Linked DNA regions of Lonchura striata. The protein of the gene in region 3 purifies or fractionates together with the protein of the main gene of each other region. This does not show direct contact. Links are inferred from orthologs where the notes say so. Each region holds a gene or a part of one and is shown on either strand. Other genes may lie near its edges. The genes, in order: MTA3, KDM5A and ZMYND8.

The links.
Region 1: the proteins of ZMYND8 (region 3) and MTA3 purify together in Homo sapiens (affinity purification with mass spectrometry, with the first as the bait; 3 studies listed by BioGRID). This does not show direct contact. The link is inferred for Lonchura striata from reciprocal best matches to the Homo sapiens genes ZMYND8 and MTA3.
Region 2: the proteins of ZMYND8 (region 3) and KDM5A purify together in Homo sapiens (affinity purification with mass spectrometry; 3 studies listed by BioGRID and IntAct, with this or other methods). This does not show direct contact. The link is inferred for Lonchura striata from reciprocal best matches to the Homo sapiens genes ZMYND8 and KDM5A.

The regions. Positions count from the first base shown.
Region 1 is NC_134605.1:14,013,294-14,020,013, forward strand, and holds the start of MTA3 (metastasis-associated protein MTA3), read left to right. Parts: upstream 1-1,986; 5' UTR 1,987-2,083; coding exon 2,084-2,111; intron 2,112-4,193; coding exon 4,194-4,261; intron 4,262-6,093; coding exon 6,094-6,187; intron 6,188-6,720. UniProt on the Homo sapiens protein: Acts as a component of the histone deacetylase NuRD complex which participates in the remodeling of chromatin.
Region 2 is NC_134607.1:11,875,848-11,882,567, reverse strand, and holds the start of KDM5A (lysine-specific demethylase 5A), read left to right. Parts: upstream 1-2,140; 5' UTR 2,141-2,205; coding exon 2,206-2,370; intron 2,371-2,763; exon of another isoform or gene 2,764-4,198; coding exon 4,199-4,276; intron 4,277-5,759; exon of another isoform or gene 5,760-5,823; coding exon 5,824-5,946; intron 5,947-6,720. UniProt on the Homo sapiens protein: Histone demethylase that specifically demethylates 'Lys-4' of histone H3, thereby playing a central role in histone code. Does not demethylate histone H3 'Lys-9', H3 'Lys-27', H3 'Lys-36', H3 'Lys-79' or H4 'Lys-20'.
Region 3 is NC_134619.1:8,586,699-8,593,418, forward strand, and holds the start of ZMYND8 (MYND-type zinc finger-containing chromatin reader ZMYND8), read left to right. Parts: upstream 1-2,638; 5' UTR 2,639-2,755; coding exon 2,756-2,769; intron 2,770-2,903; exon of another isoform or gene 2,904-3,174; intron 3,175-3,328; exon of another isoform or gene 3,329-3,854; intron 3,855-6,720. UniProt on the Homo sapiens protein: Chromatin reader that recognizes dual histone modifications such as histone H3.1 dimethylated at 'Lys-36' and histone H4 acetylated at 'Lys-16' (H3.1K36me2-H4K16ac) and histone H3 methylated at 'Lys-4' and histone H4 acetylated at 'Lys-14' (H3K4me1-H3K14ac).

The DNA.
Region 1 (6,720 bases), on a different chromosome or scaffold from region 3:
CATAACTTTAATTTTTCCCATTCTGTACACTGAGAGAGCACTGAATATAAACTGTATCCAGGCTTTTGTGTATGTTACACCAAAGTAAAATGTACTGCCAGTCCTGCAACTCTGTATCCACTAGCTGGCTGTGCCCACTCCCAAAGCAGTGACCTTGAGCTATGGATGTACTGAGCACCTCGGGCTGTGCTGCTGCTGTGCGAGCCGTGTTACTGCGAACAAGAGGGCCCAGTGATTCAGTACTGAGGTATATAAATGTCATTATTTCTCTATTTATCTGGTCTGCGATGCAGCCTCAGTCTGGCAGCTGTAAGTAAGGGTGGTTTTCTAACTATTTTCAGGCTGTCCACCTGAAAGGACAGGCTGGGACCATGGGCTTCCCTGGGCTGCTCTCTCACCTTCTGTATCTCCAGGAGTTGCTTTTCTCTTCCACAGGCCATGCCTTCAGCTGATGGAAGCAATGGTCTGTGTCTGTCCAAATCTACTCCTTGCTGGATGAGGGGACATCGTAAACTTCCTAGTGAGGGCAGTCCCCCTAATGTCCAAGTGCAGACTTAAAATGAGGAAAAGAGCTTGGAGGCATTCTGTTTAATTGGAAATGTCTGTGCCAAACCAAATGTTCGAATTAACTTCTCTTGCCTAAAAAGTTTAACCTCTTTCATTTGCCCAAGCAGTAAAACAGGAGAGTAAAAGTAACACCTCAGGTCTCTGCTAAGGTCATGTTATTGTGCCTTTGGAAATACCCAGCTGGACAGAGTTGGTACTTCCCAAGGAGCTTCTGCTGACTTGTTTTCAGTTCCCACAGATGTTCAACAGAGGAAAATTCCCCATTTTTCCTTTCACTGCTTGAATGTGCTGCTGTTTTTAAAAGAAAAATAAATTACTGTATCATGTGCCTGTTACATGTGTTTCAGAAAGTTGCTTCTCAGTTGGCGTTTTGATACAAAGTTGTAGTCACTTGAGAAATTAAAAGTGTCCTGGAAGTAGACAAAACTTTATAGTCCCAGATTTGCTTAGAGGAGAAAAGAAAGACAGGATATAATCGTTTGAAACACCAAGGATGATCACCCTCCTTCTAATCAACGCATCTTCCTGCAGCTCAGGATGAAGTGAAATTTTAACTTGGTAACGCTCAAGCTGCACACATAAATATCCAGGACATAAAACCAATAATAAATCATCCCCTTCGTTGCAGGAAGATAATAACAAGCATTTATTTTCCAAGAAAGCATGCCACAGCAGGATCAATTTGTTTGTAAAGTGTATGGATTGTTGCTTATGGTGTAAACTTTGTATAAACAGGGGGAAATGGCTTCATGTTACATCAGTATTGATGTTTTTTAAGCATCTCTCTCATCGGATGATTTGTAAGCATCTCTTTCGACGCTTCCTGCCTCCGAGATGAGCTGCTAGATTTATCTTTATTCTGTCGTAGATGTTTTCTGCTGCCTGTTGCGAGCAAGCTGCATCCTGCGGACGGCGGAGAGCTCCGAGAGGCACCGTGCCCGCGGCGGGCTGGGGGCGCCGGAGCCGCCCGCGGGACCGCGCTACGGAGGCGAACAAAGGGGCCGCCAAACCCATCACCAACAGGTGCTGCGCAAGAAACAAACTTTTCCTGAGATACTACTCAGAGCTGCCAAAGGAGAGAGATCCCTCAGCCGCTCCGGGGAAGAGGCAAACACCAAAAAACCCCCAAGTTCCGAAAGGGTCGGAACAAAGCGGCGGGAGCCCGCAGAACGTGGCGTGCCTCGGGCAGGGCGGGGAGCGTGTCCGCGCACCCGCACCTCCCCCGGCGCCGCCCGGCCGGACCGCCCCACCCCACCTGCGGCCGGGCCCGGCCCGGACCCGCCCCGGGGCCGGTGCGCGGGGGGAGCGGCGGGGCGCCGGTTTAACCCCTTCCCCGCCGGCGGCTCCGGAAGCGGCGGCGGCCCCGTGGGGCGCTGTGTCCTGCGGCCGGGCGGCGAGGGGTGGCGGCGCGGCGCGGGGGGGGCGGCGGCGGGAGCCGCTCCCTCCTTGCCCAGCCCGGCCCGGCAGAGGCGGCAGGAGGAGGAGGAGGAGGAGGAGGGCGGCGCAGAGCGCAGACATGGCGGCCAACATGTACCGAGTGGGAGGTATGTGGGGACGCGGCAGCGCCCGCCCGGAGCCCCCCGCGCCCGCCCGGGGGTCCCGCCGGGCCGCGGGCCGTGCGCGCCGCGCCGGGGCGAAGAGCGGCGCCCCGGCCCCCGGCGGGCGCGGTCCCGAGCGGGGCGGCCGGGCCCGGGCGGGCGGCGAGAGGAGGCAGCCGGTCCGGCGAAGGGTCGCCGGGCCCTCCGCGGGGCGGAGGACGCAGGTTCCTCCCCCGCCAGCCCCGCGCGCCGGGTGGGAGCCCGGCCCCCGCCGCCGAGGAGGAGAAGGGCAGCGCCGCCCTCCGCGGGAAAGCGGGGAGCGGCGCCGCCGGCTGCCAGCCCCGCGCCGCGCCTCGGGCCGGGCACGGCCGCCCTTTGCGCCTCGCCTCCTCCCCGCAGAGCGGCGGAGGGGCCGAGCGCCGGGCCCCGCGGGGCGAGCAGGGGCCGCCCGCCCGGCCGTGCGCCCCCGGGCCGCGCCCGCCCCGCCGCGGCCTGGCGGGCCCTGGCGGCGCGGGGCGGTGCGGGGCGGCGCGGGGCGCTGCGCACGGACAGCCCGAGCCCACCCCGGGGCCGCTTCCCTCCGCGCCGCTTCCCTGCCCCCGCGCCCTCCCTCGCTCTCACGGCGGAGTTTCTCCGCGCCTTCCTTGGTCTGCTGGGGATAAATAATTAATCTGGCTGCGTAACCGGGGGATTTCTGTCAGCTTCCCTTGCTCGCCGCCGTGACCCCTGAGCAGCGCCCTGATTCGTGACTGCTTGGCGGTGGGGAGAGGGCGTTTAGGCGGTGAAAAACACGGCAAACGTTTGTCTTCCCACCCCGAGCCTGTCGAAAATGACACGGATAACTTTGGCTCGCTCACGGAGGGAACGAACGTGGCAGTGTGCCCAGTGCTGTGGCTCAGGTGCACTGCTCAAGTTAGGTATGTAGTACTGGGTGCTCAAAAATCGCTCCATCCTCTTGCTCTCTCAAAATCCAGAACCGAGAGGAAAGATGTGTGGAAATGAGAGGTGACAATAGTTTGAATGCTTTGAGATACACTGATGGAGCCACAAATCTTCCATCTGAATGCTGTCTCATTAGAGCACTTAGATTTACTCATGAAAGTAATCCTTCTCTGAGCAGGTAGCACAGAGGGTTTACCTCATGGGTCACCAATTATTATTTTTTTTTTTCGTTGTAGTCATAATAAACAATTGTGAGCACTATCCAGAGATCTTATTCTTTCATTAGAACTACCTGAAGTTCTTTTTCATTGTACCGTAGTGTCAAACTGTTGCAGAAGGCTTTTATACATTGTTATAGTTCCTCATCCGATTTTTAGAAACAAAGTGTGCAAGGGGCATGGTACAGAAGTCCAACATCAACTTTAAAGTGTGGTTGACATTTGGTGGGTAGTTCTTCATTGGACAAAAACAAGTTTTCAGAAAACTATGAAGGAAACACACTTGTCAATTCTTTGTATGTTACATGGGAGCAGCTTTCAGGATATGAGTAAATTTCCATTCACTTTATTAAGATATTTTTATATTAATGATGTTGAAAGAGACTTCCTACAAGATCCTTGCTAATTTCATGACAATTCCTGCTTAATATAGTTTGCATTTTAGTGGACAGAGATTACAAGAGCAAGTATCATAAAACATACATTACTCATTGGGACAACTGTACTGCCACAACACCTGATAATAAATGTGACGTGTCGTCTCTTACAGAAATGTAAATCTCGGTAATATGGAAAGTCACTAAAGTGCTCAGTTCTTAAATCTTCCCTAATTGATTGTGAGAAGTTGCTCCTTCCCTATCAAGATTAATGAGGTGTATGGATTACTAGATTACGGTGTAAATTTCAACACAAAGCCTTTAACTTTTTCCCAGCATGGTTGTTAAAGCAGGTGTAGTGCAGTTAAAACCAGAATTGAGGAACAAATTATATTAAATCTCAGTGTAGAAATACATCACGGTCCCAACATTTATGAAGAAATCTCAGCCCTTTCAAAACTTCTTGTTTTAGAAGAAAACTTTTGCACTAATAGTGATATGTCTTTACATAATTTTTGGTATTTCAGTGACTTTCCCTTTTTTCCTTTCAGATTATGTTTATTTTGAAAATTCTTCCAGCAATCCATATCTCATTAGGAGAATTGAAGAACTTAACAAGGTACAAATATCTAAGATTCTTTCTTAGCCTTTGGCAAAAGTCAGGGTTCTTGTTAAAACCTGAGAATTATTTCTATCCCATAAGATTTCTACTGTAGGAGGGATTTATGAGGGTTACTGAAAACTTGCTATGTGATATCCTCTTACTCGACCCTGTTACCTAAGGAAGCACCCAGTTGTTCATCCCTGGTGAACAGGATTACTCTGCTGCAAAAATTTTCTAACGAATTCTATGAATTCTTGGAGAAATGAATAAATTTCATTCTCTGGCTGACGATGACACTGTGAATCCATCTGGAATCTGACACTGTGAAGCCATCATGTAACGAGTCTGCTTTTAGATAGACATCTGAAGAGCTGGCAGGTACCAGCGAGACTTTGATCGAGTAACACAATGTGTGACTTCTGTGGCTTTATTGCTCTGCCTATTGGCAGCTGTGAATGAAGAATGGGCTTTTGAATAAAGTACAAACTGTGTCCTCTGTCTTTATCATGAGTGTATTTTCCTGAAAAATGGAGGCTCTGTTGACAGTCATTTTGGGGAAAGCATGATTATTTTTCTTCACTCTGACACTACTAAGAATAGTGTGGTGTTTCTATGGGTTTTAAAATTATTTTTAATATTTTTGTATTTTTTTTTTACTTTTCCCTCAAGCAGTATTAAAACTTACTGATGCACTACATCAAAAGTTAATTGTTAAAATGCTCATCATGATGTAAGTAATGATTAAGATATTTCTCCCCAGTGGTTAGAAAGTAAATTAAAAAATTGGTGACTTGCAAGTGGTTTTCTTCTTATTAATGAAACATAACAATATGCCATAGCAGACATCAACCACATTAGCTGTTAGTGCTGTCCAATGCAACATCCACTGAACTTGTGCATGGCAAATAATTTTTGACTTTTATTGGAGAAGAAAATTTTTTTATTCACAGTAATTGACATGATTCCAATCATATATTGAATGTAATGTTTATTATCTTTAAACTGCATTGCTATAATTTAATCTTGCTTATGCAGGGTAGAAGAGAGTCATGTATTCATTTTTTTTCCTTAAAGGGAGGCTGGAGGTTGTAGTCCACACATCTTGAATGTGAATGGTTTGCTTTCATATGTTAAAGGTATTGAGCAAATGTGAAGATATTATGTAAATATGTAATAAAATGCTTTGATTATTGTTCTAATAGGGACAATATTTTTTTTGTAAGAAGCTTAATCAAAACATTATACTTTTTAGTATTAAGTAAGTAACTCAAGGTAAAAAACTACTTTTGTACCCTTAAAGGAGAAGGATAAAGTTCTTCAAATATTAGTAAATTCTTTATAGAAGATTGTGGTCCTCATAATGAGTAATTAAAACAGTGAACTAAACTGCTCTTTTATTTTAGGAGCTGTTGTGACTTTCTCAAATAAATCTTTCAAAAGACTTTTTCAATAAATGTTATATTAAATGAGATTCTGAAAAAATGCCCGAGTACTTTGAAATATACATTTCTGTCCAAAGCAGGATTGTAAAGAAATGTTCACAAGATTCTAACATTTCTGAAGGATTCTTACTTTAGAATGCATTGCACCTCTGAAGACCTGAACAAAATATAAATTCTGAGGACTCAATAATTGTAGTTAATCCTCTTGTCTGCTCTGAAATTGGTACTGGCCTCTCTCAAGAAGATTTTATATTTGAGTATATTGAAGTAGTTCTGTTGATTTCAGCTTGACTAATCATGTGAGAAATACTGATATGAGGGAACACTCCAAGCAGAGAGTGTTTAATTTGTATTTCTCAGCTGAGGAGGGATACATCCTGACTTGATTTTCTCTTTCTTTTGTAGACTGCCAATGGGAACGTGGAAGCGAAAGTGGTGTGTTTTTACAGGCGAAGAGATATTTCTAACAGCCTTATAATGCTTGCAGATAAGCATGCTAGTAAGTAGATGGTGTAGGGCATTTTTCCTTACTAACACAGCCTGCTCAATTTCTGCAACTGCTTAAAATTGTGGGGTTTTCTGGCATGTGAAATATATATTTATGTTAGGCATTTATTAATATCTAGTTAGTTGCTTAGTATTATCTGATTCTCTCCTGCTCCTATTAGTTGCTTCTGAGAATTGAGTTACCTGTATCCATATGATTGAGACTGTGCATCTGGAAAAAAAAAAAGAATGTATCTTTTCATCTGGAAGATACAGATGCATTTTTTTTTTTAAGTCAAAAGTAAAAGTAATTATTGGTTGCAAGTCAATTTAAGCTTAAGAGCACTTGTAATTATTTGATGTGACTTTTTTGAATTAGACATAAACATGTATTCCTTAATGTAAAGAATGAAATGCATCATTGGGCAGATGTAAAAGAGATTGTAAAAGAGCTGTTATGTGCATTTACACTAAATGTAGATATTAGTCAAAAAATAGGGGGTTAGGGTTTTTATATTTATTTTTTTTTCCAGAAAAACAACAAGT
Region 2 (6,720 bases), on a different chromosome or scaffold from region 3:
TGACTGAATTGAGTGTGTTCTTTAGGTCATCCTGCTGCCTTTTAGCCTCCTCATCCTCCTCATGTATTCCCGGTAGTACCTAGTAGTAGTGTTGCCATTTATGCACCAAACGATTTCCTAATTTATTAAGTGTGCTGGAGAAAAAAAAATTGCTCAGCAATAAGCTAGGGTTCTTTTTTCCTTAAGACTTTGTGTCACAGGGACATTCTTCTCCGTCTCAGGATTTATCATAGAGGTGCACAGAAGGAAGAAAGAGAAAACAATTTCTATTTCTGCTCCTTGTTTTTTGTGGAATGTGCTTGGAGAATTGTTTACCTGAAATGATTCCTTGATTGGATTCTGGTGAGGATTGTTTGAGCCTGATGGCCAATCCAATCCACCTGCATCTGAACTCTCAAGAACAGGGTCACAGTTTGTGAGTGAGTTAGATATGGTAGTTAGAACAAGTAGGTTTGTAGTTTTACTTATATAGTATATTAATGTATTATAGCAGTTATAATAAAGAAATCATTCAGCCTTCTGAACTAGAGTCGGACATCATCATTTCTTCCCACTGGGTTCACTTGCATTTTACAATAACTTTGTTTAAAAGACATGGACTTTCTATATGACAAGGGAAAAAAAAAAAGCTTATTTAAGAAACCACAAGGTTCTTCCTCATCACAATTTGCAACTTCCTTGTGAGGGGAAGAGGAGGGACAGGCATTTATCTCTTTTTGGTGACCATTGACAGGAGCCAAAGGAATGGCCTGGAGCTGTGCCAGGGCAGGTTTAGGTTGGATATTACAAATAGGTTTTTCTCCCAGAGGGTGGCTGGGCACTGGAACAGCTCCACAGGGCAGTGGGCACAGCACCAGCCTGCCAGAGCTCGAGGAGCATTTAGACAACGCTCTCAGGCACATGGTGACTCTTGGAGTGTCCTATGCAGGGCCAGGAGTTGAACTTGATGATACTTGTGGGTCCCTTCCAGAGAGAAGAACTCTGTGATTCTTCTTCAAATCAATTTTCTCATGAAATAGAGAAAATAGCAGGGTAGATAATTTCTCTTGGCAAAGTCCAGAAGATAGGCTGCTGTTACGGACTGGCCCTGATGACCGTTGTTGGTTGGTCCCTTCCAGCTCAGGATATAAACTTTTTCTGAGGCTGAAACAGAACACCAGCACGGAGGTTTGAATAATCAGTAAGAATAGAGTGAAATGTGGCATTTGGTAGATAGCGAAGGCACAGTTTTGGTTGAACACAAAAAAACATACTTTGGAAGACCGTGTTGCAACAGATAGGTAAAAGATACAGATCTCTCATTGACAGGAGCCGAGGGAACGGCCTGGAGCTGTGCCAGGGCAGGTTTAGGTTGGATATTACAAAAAGGTTTTTCCCCCAGAGGGTGTCTGGGCACTGGAACAGCTCCCCAGGGCAGTGGCACAGCACCAGCCTGCCAGAGCTCGAGGAGCATTTGGACACCGCTCTCGGGCACACGGTGTGACTGGGGATGTGCTGTGCAGGGCAGGCAGCCGGACTCTGTGACACTTGCGCCTCCCTCCCCATTCCGACACCTCCCTCCGTCACCGCCGCTGCCGGGGGCGAGCTCGGGGCGGGGCCCGTGAGAGGGCGGCCCCCATGAGGGGGCGGGGCCCGTGAGGGGCGGGGCTCGGGAGGGGCGGGGCCTCCAGCGGCGCTCCTGACGTCCGGCACAGACAATGGGCGACGCGGCCCCGCGGAACCGGAAGAGAATGGCTCGCACTTCGTCACACATTCCTCCGCGGCGGAAGTGGGGTGGCCCCGCCCTCCCCGGCCCCCGGTCCCTCCTGTCGCGGCGCAGTGCCCTGAGAGGCGGCGGGCGGGGCGGTTTGCCCTGAGCTCTGTCGCGGGGGCTTGTCCGGGAGCTGAAAGCGAGGAAGCCACCTCGGCAGAGGAAGCGCTGCGGAGGAACTACTTTTTGGATCGGAAGGCAACGTGCGAGAGCTTCCGGGAGGCCGTAGAAGGGACGTCACTTCCGGCGGGCTGGGAGGCGAGGAGCGGGGCTCGGGCGGGGGCAGCGGTCCCGGCCGGGACAGCGGCAGCAGCGCTTGGCAGCACATTCCGCCGCCCCGCCCGGCAGCGCCGCCAGGGGATGCGCCTCGGTCCCCGGCCCAGCCCCTGAGCCCCCGGCCATCCCTCTCCGCCCTGCGCTCCCGGCGGCGGCGGCGCCCCCCTCCCCCTGCGGCCATGGCGGGGGGCGGCGGGTCGCGCTATGCGGCCGAGTTCGTGCCGCCGCCCGAGTGCCCCGTATTCGAGCCCAGCTGGGAGGAGTTCAGCGACCCACTCGGCTTCATAGGCCGCATCCGCGGCCTGGCCGAGAAAACCGGCATCTGCAAGATCCGGCCCCCCAAGGTACCGCCCGCCTTGGCGGCTGCGCCTGCCGGATCCCCGGGTGGTCCGAGAGCGGCCGGGCCCTCGGTGGCCGGGTGGAGGACGTGAGGAGCTGGACAGGCCAGTCCCCCCCTCTCCGCACACACTCGGGGTTTCGTGTGTCGCTTTCCTTAGGCCGCGGTGTCCGTGCCAGGGACGCCGAGGAACCTGTAGAATCTTTGACCTCCGAGCGGGGCTTTGTAGAGGCTGCTTTGGAGCAGCTGAGAAGCGAATAGTGCGTGGTGGTGCCCGGGACTTCGTGCTATTTTTATTTCCAAAACGCCAGCAGTCGACTTGTGAAAGCTGGGAAGGCTTTGTAGGTGAAATCGGGCGTTTGCTCCGGGTGGGAAAGAGGGAGAGGGAAGGGTATTTGTTCGTTTTGTATCATTGTTCATAAACACAATTTTTAGACCGTTAAGAGGAGGGTGGCCAACCTGTTGGTGTGCGGGCATTACGTTTGTTCACAGCTGTTCGGGAGGTATCCGCTTAATCTCTCCGATGGCTTGGGAGTTACAGGTCACCTGCCTAGTGACCAGGCGGGTCATCACAGGGAGAGCTTCAGGCAGCTTGGCAAAAGGCACTTACATCAGTGAGTTATTAGAGTACAAATACACTTCAAATGCAGCTGTTAATAAGAGACTTGAAAACAGTGAGAGAGGTAAAAACCTGAAAAGAAAGTGTGTAACTGAGAACAGTGTAGATATGGGGGTTGCTGATTGGATTTCCTGGTTCTCTCCTGACCTGTTTTGGTTCCTGGAATGTGTTTAGTTAGTTTAGTGACATGGTGAAAACTTGACCTCCAAGGGGCTGCCCTTTCTAAAATAAGCTGCATAGCTCAGTTTGAGAGCCCACAAGGAACAGATCCAGATCCTGTTCATTGAGGATAACTGAAACTTCTCTGGCTGTTGGATGCATTTGCGTTTCTCTGAGACTGCTGAGCTGCTTGCCTTTCAGGGTTTCACAGGATGCACGTGTTGGGTTGATTTATAGTCTGCAATAATTGCTAAATCAGACATTTCATACTACCCTGACTGATTAATTGCTATTTTCTATTATTAGAAGTTGTAAATATTTAAGGCTGTGCTCAAGGCCTTTACATGCTGCAGCAGATTATGTGGCTTGTCCACCTGTAATGGCGTGTCCTTCTTCTGGTGTAGCCACTGCCAGGTGGATGCTCTGCTGTAACTAAAGCTTTGGTAAAAAGTGCTAAAAAGCTGATTTTCTTGTTTTGATGTAACAGGGTTTGAGAAATGGGAGTGGGAGGCACTTGTAGTTGCAAGGACCCCTGATGTTGCTGAGAAAATCATTATGTATGGCTCCATTTCTGTTAAAGAATTGGGCTCACAACTTGTGGTCTTGTCTTTATTGAAATGACTGTAGACAAGCAGAAAACCTTTAGATATGTTATGATATGCCTGGTTTAGCCTTTGTTGCTGTTGACACTGAGGATTTTTCAGTGTGCAGGATATATGGATTCTTTGTTTAAAGTAAATAAATAACCGATCAGCTAAAGAGTGTATTTCATGTTTAAGCATAGCATGAGGTAATGCATACTGAGATGCTTTGAACCTTATTTTCTTTGACATTTTTGAATCTGTGAGGATCTTTATTCAAACTAAAATGTGGTGGGAGGAACATTGTTGTATAAGCAGAAAATATCTTAAAATTGGAAAATTATATCACCGGTTGTTCTGAGAAACTAATTTACTATTGGAAGCTTGTTTACTGAGGCATTATTAGGGTGTTTGGTTTTGTGCATTTTTCAGAGAAGTTTCTGGAAGCAGTAAAATGTCTTTCTGTCTCTGCTTAGGACTGGCAGCCTCCATTTGCATGTGAAGTACAAAGTTTTCGTTTCACTCCACGAATTCAGCGCCTGAATGAACTGGAGGTGAGCTTTTTCACTGTTGATATAATTTTGTGCTTGCACTGAAAGAAAGAGGTCTTCCTGCCTGAGATTTGCAGCTTGCCAGGTTTCTGGATGGGGGACACTTCAGAAGCCTGTAGACCACATCAGTGTTTATACTTGGCAGTGGCAAAGTTTGTATAAAATAACCCTCCCTCGCTTTGAGAAAATTCTGTTTTTTATTTTATTCCCCCAAAATAACCACAGGAGTTTTTCTCATTCACCTGATAGTGTCTAGAATGAATTCCAAATATCATGTGTTTAGTAAGAGCAGCCAGTATCTAGCCTTCAGAGCTCCACAGGCAATGATTTTTTCCTCTTAAAATATTTCCTGCTGCTCTGATACCTCTGGTTACCTCATACTGTCATAATAATGCCTTTTAATCCTTAAAATTATTTTTATAGGTTTATTATAGCTGATAATGTTATGATTTTAAAACTTAAGTGAGCAGTATGACCTCCATTCTGTCCTGATTTTTCCTTATCTCTGCAACATCTCTCAAAGCCTTGCTTTGTTCACCTACCAAAATGTCATTTGGCTTGTAAATGGGTCTCCTTATGGAAAGTGATTTGGGTACTCCAGAAATACTTCAGAGAAGAGACCCTTTGTGTGGATAAGGAATATATAAAAACTGGCACATACAAAAACTTGGTAATTCCCCTCCTCCCCACAGATAATTGTCTTGTTCACACAGGACACCACTTCTTTTTGCCATGGTTGGGATTAAAGCTTGAGATGCTATTTCTTGTTTGGACTGAGGTGTTTATTAGTTCTTATCTATGTTACCGTCTCACAAGCCATGAGTTCTACAGCACTTCACTCTAACACACTAAAAACATGGAGCTATATCTCTCTCTCTACAAGGCCTTTTAATCTCTAATTAAGAAATGACACAAATTATTTTTACTTTTAACCTAATAACTAACCACCTGTGGCCCACAATGTGGACTTTTTTATCTGATTACATTATACCACCCAAACCCATGGAGAAGAAGGTAAAGAGGGACTAAAAACCTCTCTCTTGCTTTATATTAATTACTGTGTTCTAAAACTTAAAGCTCTAAGTTTTCTACCATGTGATATTACACACTTCTATTCAAACTACACACCCATAATCTTAGTTTTATCATTCTATTTTGGAAGCCTTCTCCACAGCCTCAGGTCAAATGCAGTCAAATGTGACTGTTGGCGGGGGTCACAATAATTTTTCTTGTGTTTCTGCTTGGAATGATGATCATTTCATAAGCATGCATTTTGCTTTCAGGCCAAGAAATTATTTGGTAGGAATTTAATTTATAGTGTCTTAAATGCAGAGAGAAAAGCATATGTAATTTTCTTTTTGTGAAGTGTTTTTTTAAACAAAATTTATATTTTTAGGGGTTTTTTTACCTGATAAAGAAATACCTCCCAGGCAAGTTCCATGTTGAAAATGGAAACACTATAAAAACTTACCTTGTTTTCTCTCAGGACTGTAAGATTTTGCCACATTTGGTTTTGAACATACGTGATTGTCTACCTTTACTGATTCCAGGCAATGACAAGAGTGAAACTGGACTTCCTGGATCAGTTAGCAAAATTTTGGGAACTCCAAGGATCCAATTTAAAAATCCCTGTGGTTGAGAGAAAAATACTGGATCTGTATGGTCTGAGCAAGGTAAGTATTTGTAGACCTTAGGCAGACAGGGATTTTAGTTTTCATTCAAGCTCAAGAAGCCAAGCAAGAGGAATGACTTGTGTTACAGCACTAATCTTATTAACTCAGAGATTAAATAAGTGGGAAAAATTAAATGAAAAAAACATTTCTAATTTGAATATTTATGGCAGACCTCTCGCAGTGTAATTAAATTAGTTACCTTTGGTTGGATTGGTTGGGTTCCATACACCAGGTATTTATTAGCTTGTATAGCTTGAGTGTTCTGATTTCAGCTGGCCTCTTGATTTCTAGTTCTCCATTCTTACATGTGGTAGAGCTGCAGGAGTTTGAGGTGTTGTTTGGGAAGGCAGCAGTATGCTTGTGTTCATTTCAGCTCTGATCAACAATTCTGTAATGATTTATTGCAATTTCTCCTTCTTCTCTTCCAGTAGAGGTTTTTATAAACACGTGTCTCTGAAAATATATAATGTCAGCTCAAGGAATACTTATTTAATTTCCAAAACAGACTTGGCTTAAGGCTGGCTAGAAATGAATGTTTCCATAGTTATGTTTGGTGAACGCACCAAATTTCTTTCAAAGTTTATGCACAAGTCTCTGTTGGAATTTTGTTTTGCACTGGCAAAATGTATGTACCATTATAGACTTAGCTGCTAATAAATATAAATAGGTAGATTTCTTCTTGCAGGGAAAAGACCGAAGTTCTGGTAGTTCTAGTGCTTCTAGGTTAGTGCATCAGTTTCCATCCCCAATCAAGATTTATTTCTCTTAGGTAAG
Region 3 (6,720 bases):
AGAGAATAAAGAGAAATATATTTCAAGCTTCCCCTTTGATTCCTGACAGAATTCTTTTGTCTTTTTGAGCAGAGTAGCTGAGTGGCTGAATATACATACTATATCTGTCTGATGTGCTTTCTATGGTTTTGTTCCTGCTAATAACTGCAGGTTTATAAATTTTTCTTTTGCATTTTTGCTTCCTTGAATCAAGAGGAGAGGGGCCTTAGGCCTTTCCTAAGGCTGCTGTTGCCTCTCTCTCCACTGTGTGCTCATTCTGTCTGATAGGCCCAAGTGTGTCAGCTTGGCAGCGTTCCCAGGCACCATCAGCATTACAACATTCCCCGAGTCGGGTCTGGGTTAGCACAAAGCATTGACAAATTCTGTGTATTTACTTTTGTTCCCATGCTGTTCTTCATAGGGATTAGGATTTTTTTTTTTTTAAGAGAATAATATTAGAGTAGAACAGTCACACAATGAGCATAAATGTTAACGGCTGACAATCCTCACATTTACTGCTTAGAGGAATCAAAATTTGGATGTTTGTGTGCCAGGGGTGATATCTCTGAGCAACACAGGTCTTTAGGTGTTCAATTAAAAAGAAATCTATCTTGAATGATTTTCACTATTGAAACTGATGCAAGTATTCACTGAATGTCATGAATTTCCAGTGTGTTTCTGCTGCTGTAGTGGGCTGTGATTCGCTTTATAGCAGCACTCTCCCCAGCTTCTGCTTCATTCCTAAAACAGAACAAACGGTCAGTGTATCCGTGAGCCTTCCTGCTCCCTGCCCTGAAAAACATTGCAACATCTAAAAAGAGAAAATGCTTCCAGCAGGGACTCCAGCATTCCTTCTGATTTGATAATTTATACTCTGGGCTGTTAATCTGCTGTTGCAGGGTGAAATGCAGAGACAGAAGTGTAAGCACAGGATGGGCTGCTGTGGCAGTTCCCTGTGACAAGGCTACCTCAAGGAATAATCTGAATGCAGAATGGGACAATGCAGAGCAGGATGACTAATTTTACTGAGTGGCACAGTTATGAGTCACGTCAGCTCTCAGGCAGTGAGGTTTGTGTGGTAAAGTAGTTATATCGTGAGAGGTGCTGTATGGAGGTAAGGGAGGGCACTAGGTTTTGTTGTGGTGATTGTTTCTGGGATTATTAGCACTCGACTAAACGTGACATGCATATTCTGTTTGCAACTCTTGTAGGTTTATGGAAGAGGGCTTTTTATAGATGGTTTTGCACAGTCTGAGATCCTGCATGTTGTACTGGAAGAACGTTTATTTTTCTTTGATTGTTCTATCTCATTATATAATAATTATTGTTTCAATGTTAAGCGTCTCCCTCTACACCGTCCCTTGTTTTTTTTTTCTTGCTTTTGTTTAATAAATAATTATTTTATATTCAATGTGCTTCAGATTCACCCTTTCATCTGCAATTTCCATTGCAATCTTCATGGCTACAGAATGATAATATAACACAGATACAAAATTTTGAACAATAATGCAAAGGCATGGTGGAGGCTTTCTAAAAATTTAACCTTTAAGATCTTCATCTGGAGTTAAGACTTCCTTCTTGGCAAAACGATAATTTCTCCCACTTTCACTGCATTAGGGAAAAGAATGGAATCACATTTTTTAATCAAAAGCTTGGGAATTGGCCCAAGATCAAACCGGTTGCTTACACGCCGCTTTCTCATTTTGTTTCATTTGCAGCATTTTCGCAGGAGATAAAAAGGTAAAGCAAAAATATCTGAAAAATGATGTGGATGTTTTCGTGGGGGCAGACTGATAACTTGCCTCGTAGAGAAATCTGTGTTTTCAGGGCCTGTGTTGCATCTCAAAAAGCACCAAGTCCTAGAGGGTTAACGGACAGGAAGCTGCAGTTACAGCCGCTCCTAAGGAAGTCAGTTTTTGTCTAACAGCCCAGGCAGGCCGAAAGGTAGGGGCTGGGGGGGATTCCAGATCTCAGGGTCTAGGATGACATGGATATTTTTAGTTTTGCCCTGCAGCATTTTAAACACGGGGAGGGCCTGCACCAAGTGGTAGCAAGGCTCCGTGATAAAGCAATTTCAATTCTGGAGTGCTTTTTGGGAAAAGGAGACATGAGTGTTCCTGCTTAAGGCTCCTTTTTCCCTCTTAAGACTCAGCATACCACGAAATCACACTGTAGGTACATGGTTGCTGTGCTGCATGTTCATGTATTTAAATTCTGGAGCAGGAGAACCCTTCTCGGAGTCCTGAGTTGTTCATTTCAGTCCCTTCTGTGCACGTGCACTTTCAGTAAGTTCTGCTCTCCGCCTGTGGCCTCGCTTGCTCGGCCAGCGCAGCCCCAGCAACGCCAATTGCGCTTTCCGTGCGAACAAAAGAACAGCTCTGGCGACCTGGGCGAACTCTGCGTCCTTCGGGTTCAGAACAGCCAGCTGCCTTCATGAGGCGGCAGGCTGGGGCACACGGGCCGGGCAGGCGGTGCGCGGGGAGCCGCGGGCGGGCCCGGGCCGGGCCGGGCGGGCGGCGGCAGCCGGGCCTAGCGCGCCGGCCTGCTCCGAGCCCGGGATGGCTCCTGCTCCCGGAGCCGCACAAAGATAATCGCTCAGGAAGTGTCTCAGCCAATCCCCTGGCGCTTTACATGCGGATTTGCCGGGGCAGCCAATCCGGGGGCGGCTTTCATGGGGAAGACAGATCATCAAGCCCAAGTGCCAAGCCCTCCCTGCCCGAGTACTGAGAGCCTGTCCTCCATGTTTTATAAGTATTGACATAACACTGTGTTAACAATGCATCCACAGAGGTAAGCCTTGCTTTTTACATTGCTTTTTCTCTAAGACCTATGAGTTGTGGGTTGAGAGTGTGATTCTCTGTGATTTCTCGTGCAAAACTCACACCACAGCACTTATATTAAGTTGGAACTGTTTAAATTTGCTTTCTTGGGTCACATGGTTAGTAGCCATTAGCCACAGCTTTATTTTACAGTCTGGCAAAGCCTTGGCATGCCTACTTCTTCACAGGAGGATGGTGTTTTTAGAGTTTATCAAGATCCTGGTATTCCAAAGGAGGTTTCTGTCTCTGAGCAGTTTGCCAGCACTATTGTCTGTTGTGTCACATGCCTGCTGGAGAGAAAATGGAAGCTAGGGAGCAGATGCATTTAACTGCCCTACAGGGAGTCAAGCAGGGATAATGGCAGACAGAGGAACAGGCAAGTTTACCTTTCTAAACAGTGAATGGAACAGCTAAGATAAGTTATCTCTGAGAAAATATGGGATTTTTAAAAACCTAGGCATCAGCAAAAAGTGCTAATGGCAGATTGTAGATATTGGGCCTAGGTGGTGGTGTGCTGTTGCATCATGTTTTTTATGCAGCTTATCTTAACTTAAAATGATTATTGAACCTTTTTTCTTGCAGGAGTAATTAATACAATGCTTTTCTCTTTCTGAGGGACAATGTATGGTTAATATTTTGTTCCTTTAAAAGGGAGTTTTTATGCTGCAGATTTTGGAAATGGAGTGCTGCTCAGTAAAACGCAGCAGTGCATCTGTTTACAAATCTGATGCTTTATGGAAAATGTTTTTGAACTGTTAGCTTCCTTGCTTTGCATAGTTCAAATAAACTAATGCAACTTTTATCTGTGCCTTTTTGTTTTACATTGTACCAGCCACAGTTCTGTGTTGTGGAGTCCAGAAGATATAAAATCATGTGTGGTTCATGACAGTAGTACATGTTGTTCGTTCTTGGGTTTTTTTTTCCCTTTTAATTTTTTTTACTTTTGGTTAATTGCTACGTAATTATTTCAAGAAATTCCTTTTTGATCAATTCCAAAATCTGCCAGCCTGTTGTATCTCCTTAACTGGAAAAATGAGATGGGTGCTTGAACAGTTGGTAAGTAAGCAGCATGCTACTCTCTGAACATTTTTAATAGTTTTCCAAACATTTTGTTTTTACTGGGTCAGTCAGTGAAGTAGATGAAGTGATGTTGGTGGTTAGTCATATAAAAGATCAGATTTGTTTAGCGTCCATTTTAAGGGACTTGTACATGTAAACTGCTGTATTTGAATGCACTGTTTTTCTGATAATTTGTCTCTAAATTTTGAAGCTTTTACTTCCTGTTTACCTTAGGCCAGTGAAAAATATTCTACTTGCTGTTCGTTCCTAGATCATTAATTGCCATGTTTGCAGGGCAAAGCGCGTTTTCACCGTTCCTTGGGCTTTTCGGGTGTGATGAAAGTGCTGGTGCTCAGCAATGAAGTGACCTTAGGAAGTAAAGTAAATAACACTTAATGAGCATATGTTTCTGATACTATACAAAGTATAACCTCAGACAAGCTTGCTTGGTTTATAACTAATTTAGAAACATTTTGTGCTCTTTATAAAGATTTTAATTGTAGCGCCTGCATGCTTGTTTGAACAAGCTGTTTTTCAGTGATCACTAGGGCTGTTACAAAAGCAGAGAAGGGATGCTCTTTTGTGTTTTTAATGTAATTTTTGCACTTGTTTTAACAGTCCATACACATTTATTATTTTCGGAAAGAACTGAAAGCTAGGCTGGCTTTGCAAATAAATAACTGTGCTGAGGCACAGGGCATGCAAACTTTTCTAGCCCCTTGCCATGTATTTGGTAACGTTCTTTAACAGCAATTTACCTCTGTTTGCTTGTTTACCAGTGTGAGTATCTTACTTTGAATATCTCACTTTGGCTAAAAGCTTTCCTATCCTATCCCCCTCTCCATGTTTCCCCCTCCTCCCTTCCCCCCCCCTGCCCCCCCCAGTCCCCTAGGATTAGATTATAAGAATGTCTAGTTCAATTTAAAACCTGAAATACTGCTGGGGTACCACTGAATTTCATGTGATAGTATTTCTGTATGCAATTTTAATGCATCTTTCAGTATACGTGAAAGTGCTGACACAGCTAAGAAGTTATTCTGGTTTTTGCTCTTCAGTTGCTAAAAAACAGAAATTACATTTGGACACAATTTTCCTAGTAGTAGTTTATACATGCTAGCTGTTTACTTTCAGCCTTTAAGAATGGGCAACATAATATTTGTTTAATGTGAGGAAGCAGGGGTAAGTGATCTGCAATCAGAAAGCTTGTATTAAAATGGCTCCCACAGGTTTTGTTAAACCAGGATCTGTTTCAAATCTGCACCTCCAGACACGCTGCTGACAGTGAAGCGCATTTGTGTGAGCTGCCCTCGTGCATGTAATGAAACGGAGCATCGTGAGTCTGTTAAAGTTCACTATTTTCAATCACTCGGGTGTAATTCTTTTATAGTTCACAAAAAACAAATGTCTGCATTGCAGCAAGATGTCTGAGGCAAGGTAGAGACAGCAGCGCTGTGCCTCGGCTCAGCCCAATGGCACTGCTCCGCCAGCGCCGGAGCCAATTGCTGCAGCAGGCAGGTTAAAGATTGACAATTGCAGTGGCAAGGCTGAGAAAGGCCTTCTGGAAATTTCTGCCATCTTTGTTCCATCTAAGCAAAGCAAATTCAGACAAGCTGAAGGATTTCAGATGTGTATATTTTTTGGTGCTTTGTCAAGGTACAGTGTTATCACTCACTTCCCTAGGTTGTGTAATAAGCTGTTTTTTCTATTCAGGACAGATGGAATGTGGGTTTTTGTTTTAAGTGACAGATGCAGGGAAAAAGCACGTATTGCTTTCTCCCCAAGATTTTACTGGCCTGGATCTTGTTACAATCACAATTAGACAGGACATGTATGAAGCAATGCAGCTGAGGTTTATTCAGCTTGGAGCAAATGGCCATTATTCTGATTATAACTAGCAGTTAATCGTATAATTACACTGTAAGTTTTCTGGCTACTAGAGAGCAGTTTGAATTGCCCAGGATGAATATGATTAGGCATTATTATTTAGTGCCAACATCCAGTTACTTTTGTAATTAACTGGACAAAGAATGGAGTGGGGGGAAAACAAAGGAGTGATCTGGATTATAAATCATGGTGAAAACAGTAGCCTTTTAAAAGCTACATGCCTTTTTCATTCTTTGCAGGCAAACTGTTTTACTTGGAAGCTAAATAGTGCTAGGGAAAAGCTGAGCAATTTCTTTAAACAAATGACACTACTTAACATATTGGAAATGAAAAAAATGCAGAGTATAAACCACTCCAAATGTAACAGTCACCCCCCCTCACAGTAGGTAGGAGTATGAAATGTAGCAGAAAACCTACGTTGCTACTAAGAGAGCATGTAATGAAAGGAACATCATGCTCAAAAAGCAGAAATAGATAGATTACATCACAAATTTAGCCCTTCATATCATGTCCACAAACTTCAACTGGCTCGTCTTCCTCAGCTGTCTTCCATTTTGTGATACCACTTTTGCTTGAGGTTGTTGTTTTGTTTTGTTTCTGGTTTTGTTGCTTTGTTTCTCCTGTTCTGCCTTGCTTTCCAGTGTATTGTGTTGTATCACTTCCCAGCTACTGTGCATCCAGTAGCTCTAAAGTGATAGCTGATGGTCAGTTTTCCATAGTGGTGGTACTACTCCAGCATAATTGGTTAAAGGGTGATAAATCTTAGTAAAAGTTCTCCTCTGTCTGAAATTTAGGGTATTAATTTGAATTCCCTAAATATCTTGAAAATTGAACAAAACCTTTGGCCATGTAAAATGGAATAGACAGCAGTTTTCAAATTTTCTTATTTGTGGATCTCCAGTATTTTTCCCATGGGCACATGAATCCCATTAGAGTGACTTTGAGCCTGTTAGACTAGGTTTGATTTACTTGGTTATTG